Canis lupus familiaris: one gene and its partner. The protein of the gene in region 1 interacts with the protein of each later gene in a biochemical or structural test. Links are inferred from orthologs where the notes say so. Each region holds a gene or a part of one and is shown on either strand. Other genes may lie near its edges.

Region 1 (11,441 bases):
CAACTACTGGCCATATTGAAGGAAGCCTAGACTCTGTTTCATATGGAACTTTGCCAAGAGGTATTATCCACTTAGGAAAATCTCAACACTAGTGGCAACTCCCTTGTGTCACCCTAACTGCCTGTACCACTGGGAGCCGGCCAGCATGTGTAGCTGTCACATTCATGGTGATTCTGCACACTGGGCCCTGAGTCACTTCACTCTGCCCTCCAGAGCCTCCCTACTCAAAGTGTGGTTCCTGGACCAGCATCATGTCTCACCTGGAAGCTCCTTAGAAATGCAGAATCTCAGGCTGTACCTGAGACCCACTGAATCCATATTTTAAGAAGATCCCCAGGGACTCACATACACATTCAATTTTGGTAAGTGCTGGCCTAGCGCCTAGGTCATATAACAGGCTCTTAAACACATCATTAAGAAATCAATATGATGCCCTCGTGGTGATATAAAGAAGACTAACAGGACATCAGCGAATACAAGACCAATGTGTGCTTCAACATGGTTGGGCTCCTACATGTAGAGTCACTACAGAACCATCGAAGGATTGTCACAAAATACCAAGAAAACAAGGAGGCTGTTTCCTACTGCATACGGTGCTGGCCTGGAAGTGGCCTCAACCCCGCTCTCCTTTCAATTCTGAGGGCCCAGTGTGGCTTTTTAAATCCCTCAGGAATAGCATCAGGTAAAAAGATGGCTGACTCATTAACAGCTAAAAATGGTCTACATGTACCAAGCCCTTATGTGTCAGCCGCTCTTCTTCCGGCCTTCGGCATGAATTGTCTGTTGGAGCTCCAGCAATGACCCAGTTTGATCCCGCTATCTCCATTTTACAGATCGACAAACCCGAGGCCCAGAGATGTGAAGTCCCTTGCCCAAGGTCACACAGCAAGTGCATGGAAGAGCTGAAGAATTCTTGGGGGGGGGTGGGGGTGGGCGGGTGTGGATTCCCCGTAGATTTTCCCCCGGACGCACAAGGGCGAAATGGTGCGCCTGCAGCCTCCGGCGGCCCGACTCGGCTGACCCGGGGCCCGCGGCTCCGCGGCGCGGTTCCCCCCGACAGCGGGATCTACCGCGCGGGGGCGGCAGAGAGACGCGAGAGGCCCCAGAGGCGCCACCGTGGCTCCCGGCATCGCAGCCGCTGCGGTCCCCACCCTGCCCGGGGTCGCCCGCACTTACTTCCTCCTCCGGTGCCGCCGCTCCCTGTCCTCCCTCCGCGCGTCCGCCTCGTACGAGGCCGGGGGCCCGTGCCGGTGCCGCCTCCTGCGCTCGCCGCCGCCGCCGTCGGGCCCGTCGCCGTCGCCCTCGCCGCCCCGCGCCGGCCGGCTGCCCTCGCGGTGCCGGGCCCTCCGCTCGGCCTTGTCGTCCGCGCCCTCCTCGGCCGGCCTGCGGTGGGCCCGGTGCCGGCGCGGCTCCCCGTCGGCGCCCGTGCGCGGCGAGCTGCTGCGGCTCTCCCGGCTGCCGGCCGGCCGGTGCGCGTGCCTGCGGTGGGCGTCCGCGGCCTTGGCCCGCTCCGCCTCGCCCTCCCAGAAGCCCGGCTGCTCCCCGCCGCCTTCCCGGGCGTGGTGGTCCGACTCGCGGCCGTACGGCCCCTCCCGGCTCAGCTCGGCCTCCTGGCTGCCCGCCCAGGGCCTGCGGGGGTCCAGGCCCACCGAGCCACTGGGGTCCCGGGCCCGGTCGTGGTAGCGGGCCTGTTTCCTGAGGAAGTCCTCGGCGCGCTGCTGGCCGAGGCGCTGGTCCACCGTGGGCTCGGCCGCCCGGCTCTTGTTGGTGTTGTTGTTGCGGTTCTCCTGGGGATCGACCACCAGAGGCCGGTCCAGGTGGGTCTTCATGTCCGGCCGCAGGTGCCGGGCGTAGGAGGCCTTCCAGCGCTCGTCGGGGTCCATCTCGTTGTACAGGGCCTCCCGGCTGGCCAGCAGGTTCTGCTTCCGCATCTCGCTCGTGCGCTGCTCCCACACCGACTTGGTGGGCTTCTGGTTCTTCTGTTGCTCCTTCCTGCAAGGGAAGGGCGCAGGGCTTAGAGCACCGCGGGGCCAGGCCTGCGCAGGCCCCTCCGCCTGCAGGGAGTCTCTGCCCACTGGGCGTCTCCACCCAGGTGGTCTTGGCTCACTGGGCATCGCGGCCCACGAGGGTATCTTGGCCTGGCTGGGTATCTCCTCCCAACCTGGTCTCAGCCTGTGCAGAAAATTCAACCTGGCTGGACATCTTGGCCTAGCAAGTGCCTTAGACCTGGGTAGGTGTCTCATTCTGACTGCATATTTTGTCTAATGGGGGGGGGGGGGCTGTCCTCAGCCCTCGTGGGCATTCCCGTTGCACATGACCAATGGTCGCACATGACCCCCTGGGAGGTGTTGCCCTGATGTTCAAAATATTTTAACCTCTGAGACAGCCGATCCTCATGGACACTGGCCTGGAGCGAGTTTTGGAATCACCCACGGGGCCTGCATGACCCTTTAATTCTGGGGTACGAGAGGTCTGGGTGGTCCCAAAGAGAGCCAGGGTGGGCACTTGGGAGTCATGGGGCAGCACCTCTTTACCCACTGGTGCCTATTTACCCACAGGGCCGCTGCTGGAGAGCTGGCCAGGTTGGAGCCCAGCCCGGAGTATACAGACTTTTCCAGGGTTTCTGTGTGCATTGATTGTTTTATACAGACCATCGTCTTCCACAGACTGTGCTAAAGTCACTGGTCTGATTATGTGTTTTCCCGGGCTCCCCTTTCACAGCCACCTCCTTCCACTTTGGCAAAGAAAGCCCCTTCCCCACCGTCACATGATGCACTGCCCCACAGTGTACAAAATCCTCAGGACACCTGACACAGGCACAATTCGGAGTATCAGTGTCAATGGATCTCACATTAACCTTAATCTCACTCAGCGCCTCAGTGCCTCTGCTTCACCAGCAGACTCTGTCCACTCTACCTTCCTGATCTGTCTAGAATTCAGCTACATCCACCACCAGGGCCACCACCCTACTCCAGTCCCATTATCCCTTCTGCATGGACCAAAGAAGTTTTTTCTTCCAGGAGCCTAGTCCGCAGACTTCCACCCATGCTCCCTGCAGTCTGTTCCCCTGACAGCTGCCAGAGAGCCCCCATGAGCACCCAAGTCAGGTCTTGTCCTACCTGTGCTCAAGAACCTTCCATAGCTTCCACTTGACTCAGAGCAAAGGTCTGAGTCCCACCCGTGACCCACAAGGCCCTGAACGATGTTTGTCACCTGTCTTTACTTCCTCCCACTTTCCTCCCTCCCTCCCTCCCTCTATTTCAGTCACAGTGGCCTCCTTCCAGTTCCCTAAATACAACAGGCACATCCCAGCCTCAGGGCCTTTGCATATGCTGTTCCTGCTGCCTGGTATGCTCTTCCCTCAGATCCCCCCTTGGCTCCTCCTTCACCTCCTTCAGGTCTTATCACCTCAGTGAGGCCTTCCCTGACAACTTTATTTAAAAGCCCAACTCTCCCAAGCCCTAGCTCTCCCTGTACCCCTTAACCTCTTGTTAATGCTGTCTCTGCAGCAGCTAGAACAATACTTGACACATAGGAGGTGCTTATTAACTATTTATCAAGTAAAAGGGGGTGGGAGAACAGACGTACCTCAACCCTGTCAGGGACTGCTCCTGGCCCCCGAATCGTTGACCAGGAGGGGGTATAGGCTGAGGAGCCTGGATAGCATTCTGGAGTTGGGGGCACTTACACAGCTATGGACATGTTGGCCGCCGACAGAGGACTCACTTCTGCTACCTCCTTGGCTTTCTGTAGAGCAAGTTTCTGGTTGGCTGCTTCTTCTTCTTCTTGCTCATCCTAAAAGACACATGGAGTCCCTGTTCACAAAACGTGAACTCGGCCTTGGGGCCTCACCTCTGACCCTACAGTAATGAGGGGCAACATGTGAAACACTCAGAAGCAGGTGTGGCCTGGGTGGGTCAAGCAACCATAGCCAAGGCCGGCAGATGGGAATAGGTGCCCACCGTGGGTCAAGTGCATTACTAGCCCCTTTACGCGCAGCCTCCATATCCAGCTCCTTGTTAACTCTATTTTAGCACACAACTGGAAGGAAACTAAAAGAAAAAAACCAGACTCCCTTCCTTTCCCACAATGGAGAGTTCTCTGCATCCTGTCTCCGTGAGCCGGAAAGTAATGCAGATTTTCCTCTCACTTTACTTTCTGGGTTAAGGTCTCTGAACCAGGCCTTTTAAAAAAACACCCTGACTAGCCCCCACATGCAGAAAAAACTGGCATCCCATGGCCCATCCCGTGCACTGCCAACAGCCTCCAGAAGGGGAATTGGGAGAGGAGCTTATATTCTCAGCCGGTTAGGTTCAGAGAGGAGGAGGGTGGGGGAAGATGTTTTAAAAATACATACAGAAAAAGATGTTTTGGGGCTTTAAATCCTTCTTCAGCCTTCATGCAGGGCCTCATTCGTAAAACAGAAAAGCCAACAAAGAAAAAGCAAAGAAAAAGCAACGAGAAAGAAATGGCCAGAGATGAACCCACCAATAAGAAAAGCCATGCTACGGCAGGGCACCTCTCCCCCTGAGCGGGGAACTCTGGGGCAAGCAGCAACCTTACCACCTCGGAAATGGTCAGATCAGGACACGCTGCCAGTGACAACACAGAGGTGGGATCCGGCCTGCCACCCCTTCTCACAAGGCCTCCCTTCCTCCTGACACCTCACCCTGCATTTCTCGGAGCCCAGTCCCTGGACCACCTGCCTCACCTGCCCTGCAAATACAGACTCCCAGGCCTGTGGGAGAGCCTGGGCTGGGCCCTGGAGCTTGCATCTTCAATAAGCTCCCCGGAGACTATCAAGAGCAGGTCAAGTTTGAGCAGCAGTGCACGTGGCTAAGAGGACAGGTTCTGGATCCCCCTGGCTTTAAATCCCAGCTCCTCCGCTTACCGTTGACGTCAGGTGAGTCGCTCCACGTCTCAGGGCCTCACCGTCTTCACCTAAAATTTTCACTCTCCCCAACTTTTTCTCTCTCGCTCTTCTCTCCAGCACTTCTCCCCATCTGACAAATTTGTCATCTTTCTCGTTCGAATGTCAGCCTTACGAGGGCAGAGATTTCTGCCTATTTTGCTCACTGCCCTGTACTTGGCTCCTAGACCAGGTCCTGCTCACAGTAGGTGCTCAATAAATGCTTTTTGGATGAATGACACAATCTGTGAAGTGGGGCTCAGAGAACTTACTTCCTTGCTTTCTGTGAAGATTGAAGGAGATGAAAACACACCAGGGGTTTAGCAGGGTCCCTGCCTCATATGAAATGCCTAAGAAATACTTGTAGAATAAATGAAGGAAATAATCTGGGTCTGCAGGAGGATGTCCATCCTTCGCAGATGATCCTGCCTCTCTCCCTCCGCTACTCCCACCCCTCCTGGTGCACCCTCTGCCCTGTGACAGCCTCTGAGGATGGGCTCCTGGATCTTGGATGAGCACACAGTTGGATCAGCCCCTGGAGCCAGCCTGCTCCACAGTGACCAGGCCTGGGGCCGTGTGTTTGGGGTAGCAGAGACTTCCATTTCTCCCCAGTCGGAGTGGGGCCCCGGGAAACTCTCTCTCCCTCCTGCCAGGGCCAGCAGATGGAAGGTTTGGCAGCGTCCGCTCAGTTCAGTTCGACACCTTGAGGCTCTGGAGATGGGGCCGAGAAGCAGAGGGATGCCCTAGGCGTGGCCCTCCTGGGCCGACAGGAAGACTCTGCACATGTTCTCTTAATGCAATGGGGCGGTTTTCCAATACCCCCCTGTCAAATTGCAAAAAAGGTGCCCGGCTTCCTTTGCGCAGTGCACAACCAGCATGACCATTCTCAGCGGCCCTGCTTATGGGCTATCCCAGGGCGGGTGAGCCGTGTTACTAAAAGCAATGCTACCTCCTCTGTGCCTGGCTGAGCCCGACCCGAGTCCCAGGGAGTCCAAGGCTGCTCTAAGGGGCATCTGACTGTAAATTTTGCCTGGGTAATTCAACATCACTGACACGAGTGATAACTTCTCCTCCCATGGATGGTTCTCAGCCCCCTCTCCCAAATTCTCTCCTGACTTCCTCTGCTCTTCTCTCACTTTTGCTCTTTTGAGGGGCTCACATCTCTGCCCTTTTAGCCCCTAGCTATGTGGCAAGGTCACTTAACCTCTCTGGACCTCAGCTTTCCCACCTGTGAAATGGGAGAGAACAGTAAGTGCTGTCTCTTCTGCTGTGGTTGTTACTTTGTATCTTTTCCTGCTCAGCTGGGGCTCTAGTGAAAACCAGCAGGGCGCAGGGTGAGTGGGTAAAGAACTCGGGTTCTGGAGTTTGCCAGGCCTGGGTTCCCTTCCTTTTACCAGCTCTGTCCAATGAAAGCCCTAGGGCCAAGTTGTACCTAGTAACTAGCCCTAGGCTCCCTTTATTGAGCACTTACTGTATAGCAAAAACCGTGTTGAGTGCCTAAGGTGCACCGGGAGAGGCTATAAATAGTAGCTGCTATTATCATACCATCTGGGACCAGTGACTTTGCCTTTCTGAGCCTCAATTTCCCCTTCTGCAAAAGGGAGATGGCAGCAAGGCCTGTCACCCATGAGCATCATCTCATTCTCTACTGCTGCCCCTTGGAGGTGAAGTCCGGCCAGCTCCCAAGCTGATGGGGCCGCGCCTTGAGCCTCGAGACCCTGCACGGGTTAATCTCCATCTGTCTCCATCCTTTCAGCTCTAGGATGGTGACAATGCCTGCTAGCCTGGGGGCTGTACCACTCCTTGGAGGTCCCTTGATGCTGTCCACTCCCTATAGATGGGCACTCCAGTGGAGTCTGGCATCTGTTTCGTGTGGCAGCCCCGCTGCCTCACCCCCTCCCACCTCCTCGGCCGTGGAATCCGCTGTGGTCAGGGACAGTCTGTTTCGGGGGGAGGAGCTGCCTCCTCCTGGGCCCGGGGCATCCAGACCTTGCCCCCACCCTCCACACCCAGCCTGGTCCTGATCTGCCACCGGCAGGTGGTAACTTTGCCGCAGGGAGAAACATTCTCCCACCAACCCCACCTTGGTGAGCTCCTGGGCGTTGGCCAAATTATCCACCGCGATGGCTAAGAACACGTTCAGGAGGGTGTCTGCAGGCGCTGGAGTCAGGGAAAGCACAGCCACTCGGACCCTGGCTCCCGGGGCTTCCTGGATCCTCCCTTGTGCCCCCCGCCCCCTCCCCAGTCTGCTCCACCGGCCACCCAGGCCTGCCCCCCCACCCTCCCCACGGAGGATACAGTTCCCGAAGAGGGTCAGCACGATGAAGTAGATGGAGAACACCATGCCGCCCTGCACGCCCCCCTGAGACTTGATACCGTCATACATGACCTCGTTCCAGTCTTCACCCGTCAGGATCTGAAAGGGGACGGAGAAACACACAGCCAACCCCTCTCAGCCACGGGCCCCGTGGAGACGCAGCTGTAGAGCTGGAACCTGCCCGCAGTGGCTCTTCTGGGCCCTGGTCTCTGGGGCGGCGGGTGGGGGGGTCTTGCCCGTTTGTGAGTGGGAAGGGACATCCCTGCACAGAGGGATTCTCAGCCTGGCTTCTAGGAAAAGGTGACCCTGGGGGAGTCACAAATCTTTCTGTAACTCTGTCTTCCCTGATGTGATAAGGGGATTTGCTATACATGAAGCTGTGCCCCCTAAATTCATTGAAGCTCTGAACCCCCATGTGACAGTGTTTGGGGATGGGTTAGATGAGGTCACGCGTTGGTGGGTCTCTCAAGATGGGATCAGTGCTTTTCTTTCTAAGAAAAGACAGCAGAGAACTTGGGTCTGTCTGTCTCTCTCTGTGCCATGTGAGGAGGTGGCCATCTGTAAACCAGGAAGAGAGTCCTTCCCAGGAACCAGCCCTGTGGGCCCTCCAGAGCTCTGCTGCTTAAGCCACATAATCACTAGTCCTTCTGGACGGCTGTGCCTGGAGGCAGGGTGGGAGCTAGTGATCGGAGAGCCTGTCAGGCACAGGGATGCAGGTGCTGGCAAATGCAAGTTGCCCTGATGCTTATGGGATGGACTGAGGGGACAGGCGTGCTCACTGAAAAAAAAATCCAGCTTCCCTCCTTTGTAATATTTTCACAAGGATAAAGTAAATGTGAAATAACTCCAAAAAATGTCAATCTGTTAATGCAGGTTTCTCAGCCTCAACACTGCTGACATTTGGGGCCAGGTCATTCTCTCTGGTGGGGCCGTCCTGTGCACTGTGGGGGGTTGAGCAGCAGCCCTGGCCCCCACCCACCAGATGCCTATAGCACGCCTCCCCCAGAGCTGTGGCCACCAGTAATGTTTTTAGAACTTCCAATCGTCCTTGGGGGATAGAATCCCTCTTGGACAAAACCCCCTGTGATGAAGATACATGGCTGGTGATTACAACTCTTGGCAATCATGTATGTGGGGGCTGAAACTTCATGGATGGTTTCCCTTTCCAACCCTGGTCTAGGGGTCTCATTGAGAAATTACCCTCCCAGGAGGGGGAGGGAGTGAAGTCACATTTTCCATACACTCTCTTGTTCCCCTCACCCCAAAGAGACAGAACCCACGAGAAAGGCTCTGGTGGTCACAGCTAGGTCAGTCCCAAACCTCAGGGCATATGTCCACATAGGTGCAAGGGCTGGTTTAGGAAGACCACCCAGGGTCTATTTGCTTTAGAATGTGGGATCGGGGTGCCTGCCAACCTGGGGAGGGTGCGTGTAGGAATCATGTCTTTTATTTCCTGGATTCTGATGCTTTGACATTTGGTGGTGGTGGTGGGGAGATCCTTGCTGACCCAAGAGGGAGTCAGGGCTACCTACTTCCTACAGAGTAAACACAACTTGCTGGGGAGTAAGCACGCTTGTCAAATGCAAATCAACCAATACAGAGCCCACACTCCCAAACCACTTCCTCTATCTGGGCTGGGCTCTTACACTCAGAGCCAACAACCCCCTGCCCCAGTGACTCCAGGGCAGGGACCAGCCAACCTGAGACGGCCCCTATGCCCAGAGCTCACTGAAATCATTCAAACGAGCCAATTCTAAATCTGTTTACCCTTCCTCTCCAATCCTTTCTGCAGAAACCACAGTTAAAGGCTTGTGCTCACGTCCCCCCTCCCTCTGCCTCCTGACCCACCCAGCTGCTTCCCTCGTATGGCCCTGTGTGGTGAGCCCTGTACTCCCTCTCTTGGAATCTGCAAGTACAATAAACTATCTTATAACAGCTCCCAATGGCAGTTATCTACTGATCTGTTGGCCTCACCAAATCTGAATAATGATAAAACCTATATTTTAAAACAGGAGGGTAAGGTAAAGTAGAGAAAGAGGGATTCAAGGAAGCCCCCCAGGGGGAGGGGCAGTCAGGCCAGGCCAGCTAAGCCCACTTCCCAGCGTCCTGGAGGTGGCCTCACCCTGGTCCCCTCACCAGGGCCCCCCTACCCCCATACACTGAGCGGGTGCTTTTTTATCTAAGATGCTAAGAGGCGTCCCCCATACACTGAGCGGGTGCTTTTATCTTGGATGCTAAGAGGTGTCCACCTCTGGGGCCGGGTGAAGACCATACCTGAAACACCGTCATTATTGCTGCTGGAAAAGTGTCGAAGTTGGTAGGAGGAGTCCCTTCATCAAAGTTAAACCTGTGGGGAGGACACAGGCATGTCACACTGGCCCTGCCCAGGGTGCTCTGAGGGTTTGGCTCAGCATCCTGTCTCCAGGGCAACATCTCCATCATCTCTATTCCCTAGAATCTTTCCAGGGCAATATCTCCATCATCTCTATTTCCTATCTCTTCCCTAGAAGGACACCCTGACTGTACCCAGGGCCCTGAGCATCTGGGTGAGTGCCCTGGGCATCTGGGGGGTTCGTGAGGAGGGCAGTCTGCGAGACGGAGGTGAGCCTGGGTCTCTGGATGGATCAGGCCTGGGTCTGAGGGCACCTGACCCCAGGGAAGCAGAAGTCTGGGGAATCTGCTGAGCACTTACTGGCCGCCGAAGAGTTGCATTCCCAAAAGGGCGAAGACAACGATGAACAGGAAAAGGAGGAACAACAGGCTGATGATAGACTTCATGGAGTTGAGAAGAGAGACGACCAGGTTCCTGAGAGATGCCCAGTACCTGCCGACAGAGGCCGGGCCAGCTGAGCCCACTTCCCAGCATCCTGGAGGTGGCCTCACCCTGGTCCCTTTCCCTGCCCCCTGCTGGGATGCCAGGGGACTCCAAAGACTTACTTTGTGACTTTGAAAATACGCAATAACCTGAGGGCTCGTAACACGCTGATTCCAAAGGATGTGCCGGGTTTTATGACGGCCCAGATGACCTCGAAGATGCTCCCAATGATAACCTAGAACACAGAACCTGGGCTTGTGTCCAGGGACCTTGAAAACATGCCTTGGCCCCAAAAGTTGCAAGAACCCCACCAAGCTGCCCCCAAATGGAAGCAGGGTGATGGGTGATGGTCTCAGACTTTCCTCATCCTTTTCTTTCTTTCTTTCTTTCTTTCTTTCTTTCTTTCTTTCTTTCTTTCTTTCTTTCTTTCTTTTTTTTAAGATTTTATTTATTTATTCATGAGAGTCAGAAGGAGAGAGAGGCAGAGACACAGGCAGAGGGAGAAGCACGCTCCAGGCAAGGAGTCCAGTGCGGGACTTGATCTCAGGACTCCGGGATCATGCCCTTAGCCAAAGGCTGGTGCTCAATTGCTGAGCCACTCAGGCGTCCCTCCTCATCCCTTTCTTAAAATTGATTAGCAGCTCAGGCAGAGCAAAGAATTCCTGAAATGCATAACTGCAAAGTGAATATCCATGTAACTGCCACCGCTGTCAAGAAATAGGACATGTCAACACCCTGGAAGCCTCGAGGGACCCCTAGATATAACCACCATCCTGAATTTTGTAATAACCATTTCCTTGCGTTAAAAAAAACTGACATGAAATTCACCTAAGACAAAATTAACCATTTGAAGTACACAACTCAGTGGCATTTAGCACACTCACAGAGTTGTGTGACCCTCACCTCTCTTCACTTCCCAAACAATTTCATCACTCCCAAAAGAGAGCCTGACCCAATGAGGAGTCACTCCCCGGCACCCCCACCCCAGCCCCTGGCAACCACTGATCTGCTTCCGGTCTCTATGGATTTGCCTGTTCTGGACATTTCCTATAAATGGAATTATGCAGTATGTGACCTTTTGGGTCTAGCTTCTTTCACTTAGCATAATGTTTTCCAGGTCCTTGCCTTTTCAAAGTTATCAAGCATCATCCCTAACCAACAGAGTTTAGATCTATTTGAATTTCCACCAGCAAAACGTGCCGTACGGACTGATTTTTTTGTCAGTGTTTGCCTCCTTTTGTGCAATATCATGCAGGTGGGATTTATCCGGCTGTTGGGTGTGGCTGTTGCTGGTTCCCTCTCATTGCTGTGGAGAATTCCATTATATGGCTATGTCACAACTTATTTATCCATTCTACTGCAAAGGGATGTTGGGTCATTTGGTTTGGGACTATTACAAA
Region 2 (12,126 bases), on another chromosome or scaffold:
TTCAGAGCAGTCATACATTCACCGCGTGCAGCTCGTTTAGGACCGGCGGGCGGGGTGGCAGGTGCAGGTGTCCCAGCGATGTGGAGTGGTCGCCGTATGTCGATCACATGCCTCAGGTGTCCCTTTACTGTCCCCCTCTCTTTTTCCTAAAACCGGTTTCCGTCGCCTCCGTCCTCGCAGAGCCACCGGCAAGTAGGGACGCCGTCCGCCCTCTGCCGTCCGCCGTCCGCCCCCCGGCCCCATCGGGAAGCCCCGGGCAGAAGGAGGCGGGAGGACCGCGCCCCTCCTCGGCCTCGTTCCTCAGGCCGCCTCCCAGACGCTGTCCCTCCCCTCTCCGCCGGCACCTCACGCAATCAGCGGTGGTTTCTCCCTCCAACGTGTCCCTGGGCTCAACGTCTCCGCGTGGCTAACAGGCTGAAATCCTTCCTACCTTAAAAAAATAAAGACGCAAATAAAAATTTAAAGACACTCCCTCGATTCTATAACTGACCTTTTTTTTTTTTTTTCTGGCTACGATGCACTCTCCTTTTCAACTCAAAGCTTTTAGGGAGAGCAAACCGCTCTTCCTGTCCTCTGGCCCCCAGATTATGCGGGTAGAGGCCCATCGGGGCTTCACGAGGCTCTCATGCCCCGGACACGTGGCTCCTAAAGCCTAAGTCCTGCGCACACGCTCCCTGCAACAAGGCGTCCCTCTACCTTCCTTATTCTGCCCCCGCGCCCCCTCCGTCCGTCCGAGCACACCCTCCCTTCTTTATTTGGAAAACCCGCACGGCCTCTGCCCTCCGAGGGAGCTCCACGGCTGGCCGTTCTCCATCGTCCTGTTTCACTGCCTCCGCCCTCGCTGCCCGTGTGCAATCTCCCGGCCGCGTCCGGGCGCCCTTCACTGCCCTCCCGCCTCGGCAGCCCCCTGGGCCCCTGCTATGCTAATACAAGGCCGGCTGCACCTGCCCACGCGTAAAACCCCTCCCCAGCCCGCTGCCGGCTCATGAGGCCCAGGCTCGTTCGCAGGCCACCCTCCGCGCCCTGGCCCGTCCCCTGTGCGGCTCCCTCCCCCTCGCACTGCCCTCCAGCCCCCGCGGCCGCCCAGCCTGAACCCCCCAGGCCCAGCCCTTCCCAGAGCTCCCGGGCCCCTGATCCTCCTCCCCCAGGCCAGGTGGTCCCCCAATACCCCTGCCTTTTTACTATGATGGAATTTATCACCCTGAGCAGACACCAGGCACCTGCCAGTCTCTTCCACCCGAGACCCGTGGGAACCGTGTGCCGTCATCTCTGATCTCGCAGCGCCCGGCACCACGTCCGAGATGAAGTAGGATTTCTAAATGAACGTTTTTGAGGCCATGATCCCACCTCTCGGGGTGCAAGGCCTCAAGTCCTCCCCGTGCTGCTCACTCCCTTAAGCTTCCTGGTTCCCGAAGTCCTCTGCCCTCTTCTTGACTTAACACTTCGATGGTTATGCTCCGTGTTGGTTCCACGGTCAAGGTCCGCGGGTTACGGCACAGACGTCTATAGCTACAATATCCCCTGTGAACGGTCCCTCAGGGGTGGGCGCCAGGCCACCAATTCCGGTTTCCCTAAGTTGGGTCCCTAGGTCTGTGCGGGCACACAGGGGCTTGAAAGGTGACCAGGGGACCACGGATCCGTCCTAACCCCCTCCTATGACGACCCCCTCCTATGATCCAATGTGACCATGCAAGCGACGTTCTCGGTCCCCTAAACCTCACTGACAACGAATGGATCTGGAAAGCCCCGAAATTAAGTGAGGTGACCCAGCGGCATCTGCCCCGGGCTCCGCTCGGCTGTGTTTGGTTCAGAGCCGGCTCCGGCCCTCGCCTCCCGGAGCTCGGGGGACGCACAGAGTCCTACGTTTACCTCTTTAATGTGGAGAAAGTCCTTGGCATCAAAGGAAATGGCTGTGCTCGGGACGGGCACATCCTCATCCAACGCGCCGCAGTAGCTCACGTTCGTCTTCACAGCGAATGCCACGGGCTTGGACTGGGGACAGAAGCAGGGCGTGAGGACGGGGCAGGAAGGGGAGCCACTCCACGTCCCTGGCAGCCTGGACAAATCCCCCGCGAGGACTCGAAAAGGGATTCCTCGCCATCAGCCCGACCGCCTTCCCCGTCCTGCGCTACCCGCCAGGCGCCCCCCACCGAGGACCTGCCCTAACATCCTGGGGGGCGATGGGAGGACAGGGGGGTGGGGAGGCTCTCTTCTTGGCCCTCCACTCCTAAAACTGATTTTTGTCACTTTAAAGGGTGATAGATGCCCCTTGGGACACAGGAAATGTGGGCTAGGCCTTAAATTAAAAGGAGGTGGGAGTAAAATCAATTTTTTAAAAAATTTTTTGAAGTAGCCTCAGGTCTGAAAACCCCTGTGGAATCCCCCTTAGTGGAGTGATCGCCTTGTCCTGCCCGGAAAGAGGAAGGCCAGTCAGGGGTAGACAGAAGGCCCGGCGTCCCCTCCAAGCCAGCGGGAGCTGGTTCTGATGCCTCCTAGGCCAAGTCCCCCCGCAGAGGCTCCCGGCGGACGCGGCCCCTCGGCTGCGGGTCCCTGCAAAAGCCACTAGACGGCCTGCGAGGAAGCGGACCCAAGCCGTGGCCACGAGGGAGGGCGCAGGTTCCTGGGATCCCGGGCCCCTGCCCGGCCGGCCCCGCACCCCTCCAGCCAAGCCAGTGGACAGACGGGCCCCGGCAGACGCCCCGGACAGCGTCGCCCTCCTCCCACAGCTCTCAGAGAGCCTTTACTGTAAAAACAGAAGAAAGGAAGGGATTCGTATTATTTGAGCCTCCGTTTTTCCTCCGGAGGTCAGGCTGCATCAGTGCGCCCTGGACGCGTGTCACCGGGGGCAAGGGAGACCGGCGGGCCACAGCCTCAGTCTCGTTTTGCATAAAATCTGATGCAAAATGACATCAGACAGAGGGAGTCCAGGCTAAAAACAAAAACAAAAAAAAAACCCGCTTGGAAGGCACAGAACGGGGATCCCGGGTGACTCCTCTCAGATCCAGAGCGGCAGCTTGCCCCGTTGCCTCCCGTGGGCACAGAGATGCGGGGGCCGTGCCCTCTGCACAGGCGAGGCCTCGGGGCCGTGGCTGCCCACGGACAAGCTCTGCACCCACGGGGGGGGGGGTGCAGCGGGCAGCGGTGCCGGGGGACACAGGTGCGGGGCCCGGGCCTCGGTGGGGGCCCAGCCGCTCGGCCCGAGCCTGGCCAGCAGGTGCAGGCGGGGCCGGGGCAGCACCTGCGGGCGCTGCGCTGCGGAGCTAGCGAGGCTGGACAGTCACCTTGGCTCTCTCCAGCTGGATGGCGGCCTGCTGCTCCCTCTCCTGCCGAATCGCCTCCCGGTCCTCTTCCAGAGACACATCGGAGTCGGACGGCCTGCTGGTGTAGGAATCCGCTGAGCCCTGCAAGGGAACACCCAGAGCCGTTTACACCGAGGGCCGCGGCCTCCCCGTCGCGCGGCTCGCCCCTGCCGTCGGGCTCCGGGCACACGCTCACCGCGGCCGCGGGCGCATGGTCACGCCGACGCCCCAGGCCTCCCAGGGACCCGGGAGGTGGCCGGGCCACTGGTCAAGGGCCAGGAGCTGAGCGGCAGCGAACACGGCGCCGACCCCGCGCCCAGGTCTTGATGTTCTGGGCCCCCCGCGCGCCCAGCCGTAGTCCCGGTCTCCTGCTCACGCACGCGGGAGGGAACAAGGCCCTCAGCCCACGAGACGCGTCCGGTTGTGCCCACAGCTTGGGCTACAGAGGACGGCTCTACCCGAGATGTCCACGCCGCAACGCGGAGCCCTGCGGCCGTCATCGCGTCCCCCGAGCCGCTGTTCACACCGTCGAACCCACTGTGACAACCTCAGGCCCCGGGGGGCTCGGAAGGCGGCGTGTCCGACTCGCGGTCTCGACTCGGGCCATATTCTCAGGGTTGTGAGCTCCGTGCAGGGCGTGGAGCTGCTTAGAGTGTCCCGCCCGCCGTCCCTCCCAGCTCCCCAACACAGCAAGCTCCAGTCACCGTCCCACGGGAGTCACACCCGGTCCCCGCGGCCACCACGCGTGAGCCTTCGGGATGAACACAAGGCTGTCCTCGATGGCAGCACACAGCCCGAGACGCTACCTGAGCCACCCCGGCGTCCAGCCTCATGGACGTGGCCAAGGTGCTGGGGCCGCCCAGCGTCACTCACTGCTCACGGCACAAGAGGACGTGAAAACTACAGCAGCTACTTAAAAAGTCAAAAAAAAAAAAATCCTTTAGGTTTGCCTCCCGGTTGCTAAGGAAACATCGCCCTTGCCGTCCTTACGCTGCCGTTACAGGTTGGTGTCTGCGCAGACGATGACACTCGCACGGCACAGCTCTCGACAGACCCGCTGTACCCGGCGGGTTCCAGAAACACGCACAGATTCTGGAAAGCGGAGATGTCCATGTAGCTGAGAACCTGCTACCCGCTGCACACACCGAAGCGCCCTAGGCATGGTGGCCGCCGAAACGGATCCTTTCAAGCTTCTCCTAAGCTCGGAAATGTCGGGCTTAGCGCAGATTTTCCCGGCGCCCGAGGACAGCAACCCCTGCTTAGAGGTCTCATCAGAATGCCCGACAGAGGCTGGTTCTGGATCCTGCCTCTGCAACTCACTCTGGAAAACCGCGCGGGCTGCCCTGGCCACTCCAGGCTCCGCCGCTCCCTGCACACAAGCGGACGCCGCTTACTTGGAAGACGCGAACGGAGTAAGACGTGACGAGCAGCTAACCCCCCCGCACCGGGGCCAGCACACGGCTCGCTGCCTTGACGCCTTGCCCCCGAAGCCCTGGAACAGTGCGGAAGCCATGGGCTGACTGGGCAGAGCCCTCCACCGAGCTGCTCTCATGCTCCAACACCTCCTCCAGGATGCGGCACGTGGCAAGCGCAGACTAAACGGCCATTCTCTTCCCCGTCTCCTAGTCCTGACACACCTACGCTGGGTTAAAAGAAATCAACAGATGCTAATCATTTTTTCAACTCATTTATAATATACGTGCACAATAGCCCATCTCGGAAAGTCTCCATTTTTCTTGACGTATTTGTTGCCAAAAAACCCCAATGCTTCCCCCCAATGCTTTACTGTGATGTAATTGGCGTAGGACATCATGTAAGTTCCAGGTGTATGATTTGCTGAGACGATGCATTTATTTTTTTTTTAATTTTTTTTTTTATTTACTTATGATAGTCACAGAGAGAGAGAGAGACAGAGGCAGAGACATAGGCAGAGGGAGAAGCAGGCCTCATGCACCGGGAGTCCGATGTGGGATTCGATCCCGGGTCTCCAGGATCGCGCCCTGGGCCAAAGGCAGGTGCTAAACCGCTGCGCCACCCAGGGATCCCAGACGATGCATTTATAAGTTGCAAAATGATCACACCTGTGGTAACTGCAATGTGCCCAAACCCAGGCCCTTGATGCAGTGCTTTTGGGGCACGTGGGGGGCTCAGGGGGTGAGCATCTGCCTTCAGCTCAGGGCGTGACCCTGGGGGCCTGGGATCGAGTCTCGTGTTGGGCTCCCTGCATGGAGCCTGCTTCTCCCTCTGCCTGTGTCTCTGCTTCTCTCTCTGTGTCTCTCATGAATAAATAAAATAATTTTAAAAAAAAGGAAAAGAAAAGAAAGTGCCCTTTATAGGGTAAATGGATTTGTCAAGCAAATCATAACCAAATTCCTCTGTGCAGAAGTGCTTGGGGAAAATCTGGATGTACAAGATGGATCGGAACAGGGTGACCGACTATTCTGGAGACCCCTCATTGCTAGAAAAAAAGAAAGCTACCTTGAAGTCCTTTAAATGGGTTCTCTTGGAACACATCTTTTGTCCAAATTTAGGCGGACCTGCAAAAAATCCAGGGTAAGAGAGAAAGAAAACAGTGTCTCTAAAATGCTACATATGAGAGCCGGTCGGAGCTAGCTGGAGGTGCCGCCCCGCTGACGGGTGGCACGTGCCGTCCATCATTTTAAGCTCCTGGACTGGCTGCGTGACGATGCCTGGGCCGCCTCGGGATCGTGCTGCGCGGAGTCAGGAAGGAGGCACCTGCCGCGTGCTGAGACCGTGTGCTGGGGAGGCCGGTGGCCGCAGCCCAGGAGCGGGCAGGCTGCCTGCTGGAGCCGCGAGCGGGCGACCGCCACAGGCCGCCGGGGACTCGGGGCACGGCTCACCCCCAAACCACCGTGACGACTCCTCATCCCGGCATCCCCTCACCTCTGGGCACGCAGGAGGCGACTCAAAGGGCTCCTGCAAATGAACTCGATTTTGAAATGGGAACAAGACTGTGAAAATTTCAAAATTACGTAATGAGCTCTACTATTGCCAAATGTGTGAAAGCAGAAGCTTCTGTTTACTTCCCTGTTTCTAAGAATATTGGTAGAGGGAAAGCTAAAGCACCAGGACGTTCGATATTCGTTTTCATAATCACGGCGTTACATCATTTCCACATTTACTCTGGTTTTTCTCCTCCCTCTCCTCCTCCTCCTCCCCCTCCTCCTACCCCCCTCCTCCCCCTCCTCCTTCTCCCTCTCCTCCTTTTCCCCTTCCTCCTCTTCCTCCTTCTTCTCCTCCCCCTCCTCCTCCCCCTCCCTCTCCTCCTCCTCCCCCTCCTCCTCCTCTCCCCATCCTCTTCCCCCTCCTCCTCTTCTTCCCCCTCTTCCTCCTCCTCCTTCTCTGCCTCCTCCTCCTTCCCTTTCTCCTCCAAGTCCTTCTCTCCCTCCTTCCTCTCCTCCTCCTCCTCCTTCTACTCCTCCCTTCTCCTCCTCCCCGTCCTTTTCCCCTTCCTCCTCCCCTTCCCCCCTCCTCCTCCTCCCCCTCCTCGTCCTCCTCCCCTCCTGCTCCTCCTCTCCCCTGTCCCCCTCCCCCTCCTCCTTCTCCCCCTCCTCCCCCTTCTCCCCCTCTTCCTTCTCCCCCTCCTCCTTCTCCTCTGCCTCCTCCTCCTCCCCATCCTCCTCCGCCTCCTCCTCCTCCTCCCCCTGTCCCCCTCCCCCTCCTCCCTCTCCTCCTCCCCCCTCCCATCCCCCTCCCCCCTCCTCCTCCGCCTCCTCCTCCTCTCCCTCCTCCCCCTCTTCCTTCTCCCCCTCCCCCCTCCTCCTCCACCTCCTCCTCCTCTCCCTCCTCCCCCTCCGCCTCCTCCCCCTCCTCCCCCCTGTCCCCCTCTCCCTCCTCCCATCCCCTTTCCCCTTCTCCTCCTGCTCCCCCTCCTCCTTCTCCCCTCCTCCTCCTCCCCCTCCTCCTCCTCTCCTTGTCTCCCTCCTCCTCCCCCCTCCCATCCCCCTCCCCCTCCCCTTCCTCCCTCTCCCCATCCTCCTCCTCCCTCTTCTCCTCCCCCCCCTCCTCCTTCTTTTTTCAATGCCATCTACCTTTCTTTGAATAGGGAAGTCACCGCTGCTGAGCCTCAGGGTCCTAGGGAAAACAGAGGTTCACCATCAAGAGCCCAAATTCGGCCCGTGGACGAGTTCCGCTGGCTTGGCACAGCAGTGGTTTCTTGTTTTTATTTATTTGTTTGGTTTTGTTTCAACTGCGTGAAAGAGGGGCCAGATATAGCCCAGGAGAAAGATGGAGAAGAAAACAGGAAGCCCCTGGGTTATGTACCAAGGCTCAGAGAGAAGGACCACAAGAGCCACAGAGCGGTGGAGGAGACGACCGCCGGGGCCAGACCAAGGAAGGCTCTGGAAGGGGAGGGGCTGCCGCGGGCTCGGTACAACCAAGGGCTGTGGCGGGAGCTGGTTACACATTCCTGATCAGGCGCAGGGAACTGGCAAGACGGCGACACTGAGGACACCACGAGGACGTAGGTGCACACGTAAAGGTCACTGGCAGGGGCAAAGCTGGAAGACGCGGCCCCGTTAGCTTTCCGTTTTCCAGAATTCCCCTTCATAAAAGTTGGCAAAGCGTGGGCTAGCCGGCCCACCGGGGGAGCCGAGCCTGCGCGAAAGGCACAGAGAAGCCAGCCCAGGGGTTCCCACGCAGACCCGGGACAAACCAGAGCTTGGGGCGCCAACGAGCCAACGACCCCAGGAGCGAACGGAAGCAGGTCTCTCCTTCAAGATGCTGCTGTAGGTGGACACGTGCACATGCGCACGCCCATGGACATGCATGGACACCATTTAGAGGCCGTAACATAACGCATAGTAGCGAACGCCCAAGAAACGGGCTCCCGGGTGGCTGCGTCCGGGTGTCGGCTCAGGTCACGGCCTGGGGTCCTGAGCGCCCGCCCTGCACCGGCTCTGTGCTCACCAGGGAGTCTGCTTGAGGGTCCTCTCCACCCCCGCCCCCGCCGTTGCCCTTCTCCCCTGCTCATTCTCTAAAATAAATCTTGAAAAAAAGAAAGAAAGAAGAAAGAAAGAAAGAAAGAAAGAAAGAAAGAAAGAAAGAAAGAAAGAAAGAAGAAAGAAAGAAAGAAAGAAAGAAAGAAAGAAAGAAAGAAAGAAAGAAAGAAAGAAATGCCTATCTTTCCATTAACATAAGGCTCAAGACTCTTTCTCTGCCTTTTTTTCAATATTGAAAACAGATTTAAGCCTTTTCACGAATCTCGAGCACCAAAGACAAAACACTGATAGAAACACTGGAGCATCAGTTTACTGTTGTTGTGGAGGAAGGAAAGTGGCCTCAAGTCAAATAACGGAAGGGCCCCCCATTCCCAGAGAGGGGGCCCGGCGCCGGGGAGGAGGCACCCACGGGCTGCACTTGACGCCCTTGCCGGGTCCTACCGGCCGCACATCTTGGGCAACGGATTCAACGTTCTGAGCGTCCACGTCCTCCCCCGCGGACGGGGATGATGATACACACCCTGGCGCGCCTCCCGTGCTTGGGTGGAGAGGGAACGCCCCTCCTTCTGCCACCATTAGGGAGATGCAGGCAACGCCAGCAACTAATCTTCGACTCACTCAAGCTCTGCACCTTGTTGGCAGTACAGCTTTGGCTGCCCCGGGGTTTCAGGATCTACAGCTTGTTCTTTTGTTCATTTATTATTTAAAAAAAAAAAAAAACAGTGTTACTGAGGCATGATTTATATTCATACATTTAAAATGTACAATTCAATGATTTTAAGATTTTATTTATTTATTCATGAGAGACACAGAGAGAGGCAGAGACACAGGCAGAGGGAGAAGCAGGCTCCCTGCAGGGAGCCCGATGCGGGACTCGATCCCGGGACCCCAGGATCACGCCCTGGGCCGAAGGCAGGTGCTCAACCGCTGAGCCCCCCAGGCGTTCCCTAACTCAATGATTTTTAATAAGCTTCCAGAACATGATCTATACCACAATCCAATACAAGAGCCCTTCCGCCACCTTCGAAGAGTCCTGAGCCCCCTGCAGCCCCTCCCGGACCCCCCCTACCCGCGCCGTGAGACCCAGGCACCCGCCCACTCGTGGATCTTGTCCTTTCCACACTGGAATACATTTTCCCTTCTTATGAAGGATTTTAGTATTTGTATCTCATTATTCTACTCTACTGTTTGTGTTTTATTACTGTGCTTTGCGCGTATTTTAGGGTCATGTCATGGAAGAGTAAAGGGGAGGGAGACTTGACGAGCGTGTGACACTAAAATGTGTTCACGGCCACTGCCGGAGCTTCCAGCATCAGGCCAGACGGGGCGGCTCAGCCGGGTGGCTCAGCCGGGTGGTCACCTATTGCCACGTGCGGGCCCCGCGGCCGCTGCGGAGGGAACACGCCTCACCTGCTGAGATCTTTCCCCGCAGAACGGCAGTGAAACCCTTCTGGGTCGTTCTGTTGAACTAACAAGACGCCAGAGTGCAAGACGGTGCACGAGTGCACCCGAGGGCCCGGAGCACCCCCAGCTCGGCGCCGCCGGCCCCCGGGGATGGAGCCCTCCAAGCGACGAGGGCCACGAGGAACTGCCTTTCTCGTTTGACTTTTAAATGCTTAAAATTTCATTTTCCTTCACTTTTTACGATAAATAAAATAATTCATTTTATTATTACAGAAAATGATACTTTAAATAATAATAATGCGGAGTCAGACAACCACCCCCCCCCCCCCCCCCCCCCCCCCCCCCCGCCGAGGGGCCACCGCAGCGAGCTGCACCGGAGCCGACGCTTGCACCGGAGCCGACGTTCCAAGCGTCGGTTTCACTGCCGGATCAGACAAGTGAAAGTCCGCCTTGGTGAAAACGCGGAGTTTAAGTAGCTGCACTAACCTGGACTAAGTGATGATCAAGCGCCCGGAGAAACGTATCGCTCCCAACAGATTGAGGCTCGGTGTCCCCACCGAGCTTGCCATGACTTGGGCCATGCACCTTTCTGCTCTGCCTTTCTTGGTTATTTCCCCAGATTTCCCCAGCAGATGGGGAAATAGCAACCACCCACAAGGTTGCCCTAAGCACAAAGGCCCCTCGGCACCCTTAATATCTACGATCCGGCCCTGCCTTCCTGCAGGTACCTTCTTCTCCTTTGCCCTCGTCCCCGGACATACCTGGAGCTCTTTGCTCGGCCACCCAGCCTGGCAGGGAGCCGCTGTCTCCGAGGACACGGGTGCCCAGCGCCAGCTCAGCTTTCTTCAGAGAAAGACATGCCTGCTCCCGTCAACATCTTTTTTTTTTTTTTTTTTTTTTTTTTTTGCTCCATGATTTTAAGTTCCAGGAAGGTTGGTTAGCTGCCCAGGGTTCATGCTTACTGGGTGCGATGGTGCATTCCTGGCACTGTGGCTGAGCAGGGAACTTTTGAAACCGAACCTTAGAGACGACGTTTAACTTTGCCTTAAGGTGCCTTGCGCCGTTTCTTGTAATTAGGAGGCTGGGCGCTGGACAGAAGACCAGGAGGTCAACCCTGGCCATTAATCTAGGCTTCACCTGGGGGCTTCGAACAGCAGCCAAGGGCAGCAGAGCAGTGTGCTCAGAAAAGGCCATAAAGGGAGGAGAATAAATGCTTCCTCAACCCCTACTTTTTTATGGAACTGAAGGGACCCCTTGCCTTTTTATCCCCTTCGCTCCTCTTCCAGCCTCTGTTCTTGCTGGGGCCTGCACCCTGTCTCGCTCTACACCTGCTTGCGATGCAAGCAGCACCGCCTCCTCGCAAGGGACGAACAGGTATTGATCTTAGGAGTCTTCTGGGGCAACAGGTAACGTCGAAGGAGCGACCAGGCAGGGTCATCATAAACGTTCTTCGAGACCACTGACTCCAAAAACCTTGATGCCAAGACTCCAGCTCCAGGGAATGAATGACTTACGAAGGACACCTGGCCCCGTCCTTGCTCTGGCCAGCTCCTGGACGCCTCAGAGGACATGTGCACCAGGCCTCAACTGCCCATCAAAACCCAGACTGCAAGCAAAGAGGAGACTCGTGCTCCGTTTCTTTCCGAGTCTCCCGGAGGCTCTGTCTGCATTTCTCTCTCTACATGTACCTTCAACAAACTCTGCCTTCACTTCCTCCCGGCTCACGTTGTTTTTCCATCCTACACGAAGCCAGGGACCCTTCTGGCTAGTCCTGTGGGACCCCCCTCTCTGGGTCCTCAGACCTGGCCTGCCCGGTACCAATGTGAGTGGTCCACATACAGGTTTTAGATTATCCCATCAACCCCGTGAAGTAGGTTATGATTATCTCCATTTTACAGATGAGGCATCTGAGCTCAAGACAGGCAGCAAGAACCTTGCTCCAGCCACGATCACAGGGCATGACGCAGAGCACAGCGGGCAGGAGTGTGGGCAGAACCTTTTTTAAAAATTTCCTCTACAGGGGACGCCGGGGGGGCTTAGCAGTTGGCCATCCGCCTTCGGCCCAGGTCGTGACCTCGGGGTCCCGGGATCGAGCCCCACGTCGGGGTCCCTACAGGGAGCCTGCTTCTCCCTCTGCCTGTGTCTATCTCTCTGTGTGTCTCTCATGAATAAATAAATAAAATCTTTAAAAAAAAATGTCCTCTACAAAATCAGATGCAAACATTTAAGTCAAACATTTTAGTTGCTTAAATAAAACAACATTCTACAATATTTTACCACCACATGCTAAAATTTCACTAATTTGGAACGATGGATGCAAGTAAAGAAATGGCTGAGATCATGGAAAGTGAACCGCAGGCCGCTTTCCAAAAGGCACGTTTCCTAACTCCGCACAGTAGGTGTAGATTATCAAAGTTTTGGTCCGTGGATTTCTTTGAGCTTCCGCTTTAATGACAGGGTTT

Evidence for each region.
Region 2: the proteins of CACNA1A (region 1) and voltage-dependent L-type calcium channel subunit beta-4 form a complex in vitro, tested with the Homo sapiens proteins (2 studies listed by BioGRID). The link is inferred for Canis lupus familiaris from reciprocal best matches to the Homo sapiens genes CACNA1A and CACNB4.

What each region holds. Positions count from the first base shown.
Region 1 is NC_049241.1:49,350,948-49,362,388, reverse strand, and holds part of CACNA1A (voltage-dependent P/Q-type calcium channel subunit alpha-1A), read right to left. Parts: intron 10,277-11,441; coding exon 10,164-10,276; intron 10,051-10,163; coding exon 9,919-10,050; intron 9,574-9,918; coding exon 9,501-9,573; intron 7,326-9,500; coding exon 7,208-7,325; intron 7,061-7,207; coding exon 6,993-7,060; intron 3,796-6,992; coding exon 3,689-3,795; intron 1,993-3,688; coding exon 1,177-1,992; intron 1-1,176.
Region 2 is NC_049240.1:54,793,545-54,805,670, forward strand, and holds the start of voltage-dependent L-type calcium channel subunit beta-4, read right to left. Parts: upstream 6,238-12,126; 5' UTR 5,778-6,237; intron 4,942-5,777; 5' UTR 4,413-4,941; coding exon 4,290-4,412; intron 3,402-4,289; coding exon 3,282-3,401; intron 1,993-3,281; coding exon 1,870-1,992; intron 431-1,869; exon of another isoform or gene 345-430; intron 1-344. UniProt on the Homo sapiens protein: The beta subunit of voltage-dependent calcium channels contributes to the function of the calcium channel by increasing peak calcium current, shifting the voltage dependencies of activation and inactivation, modulating G protein inhibition and controlling the alpha-1 subunit membrane targeting.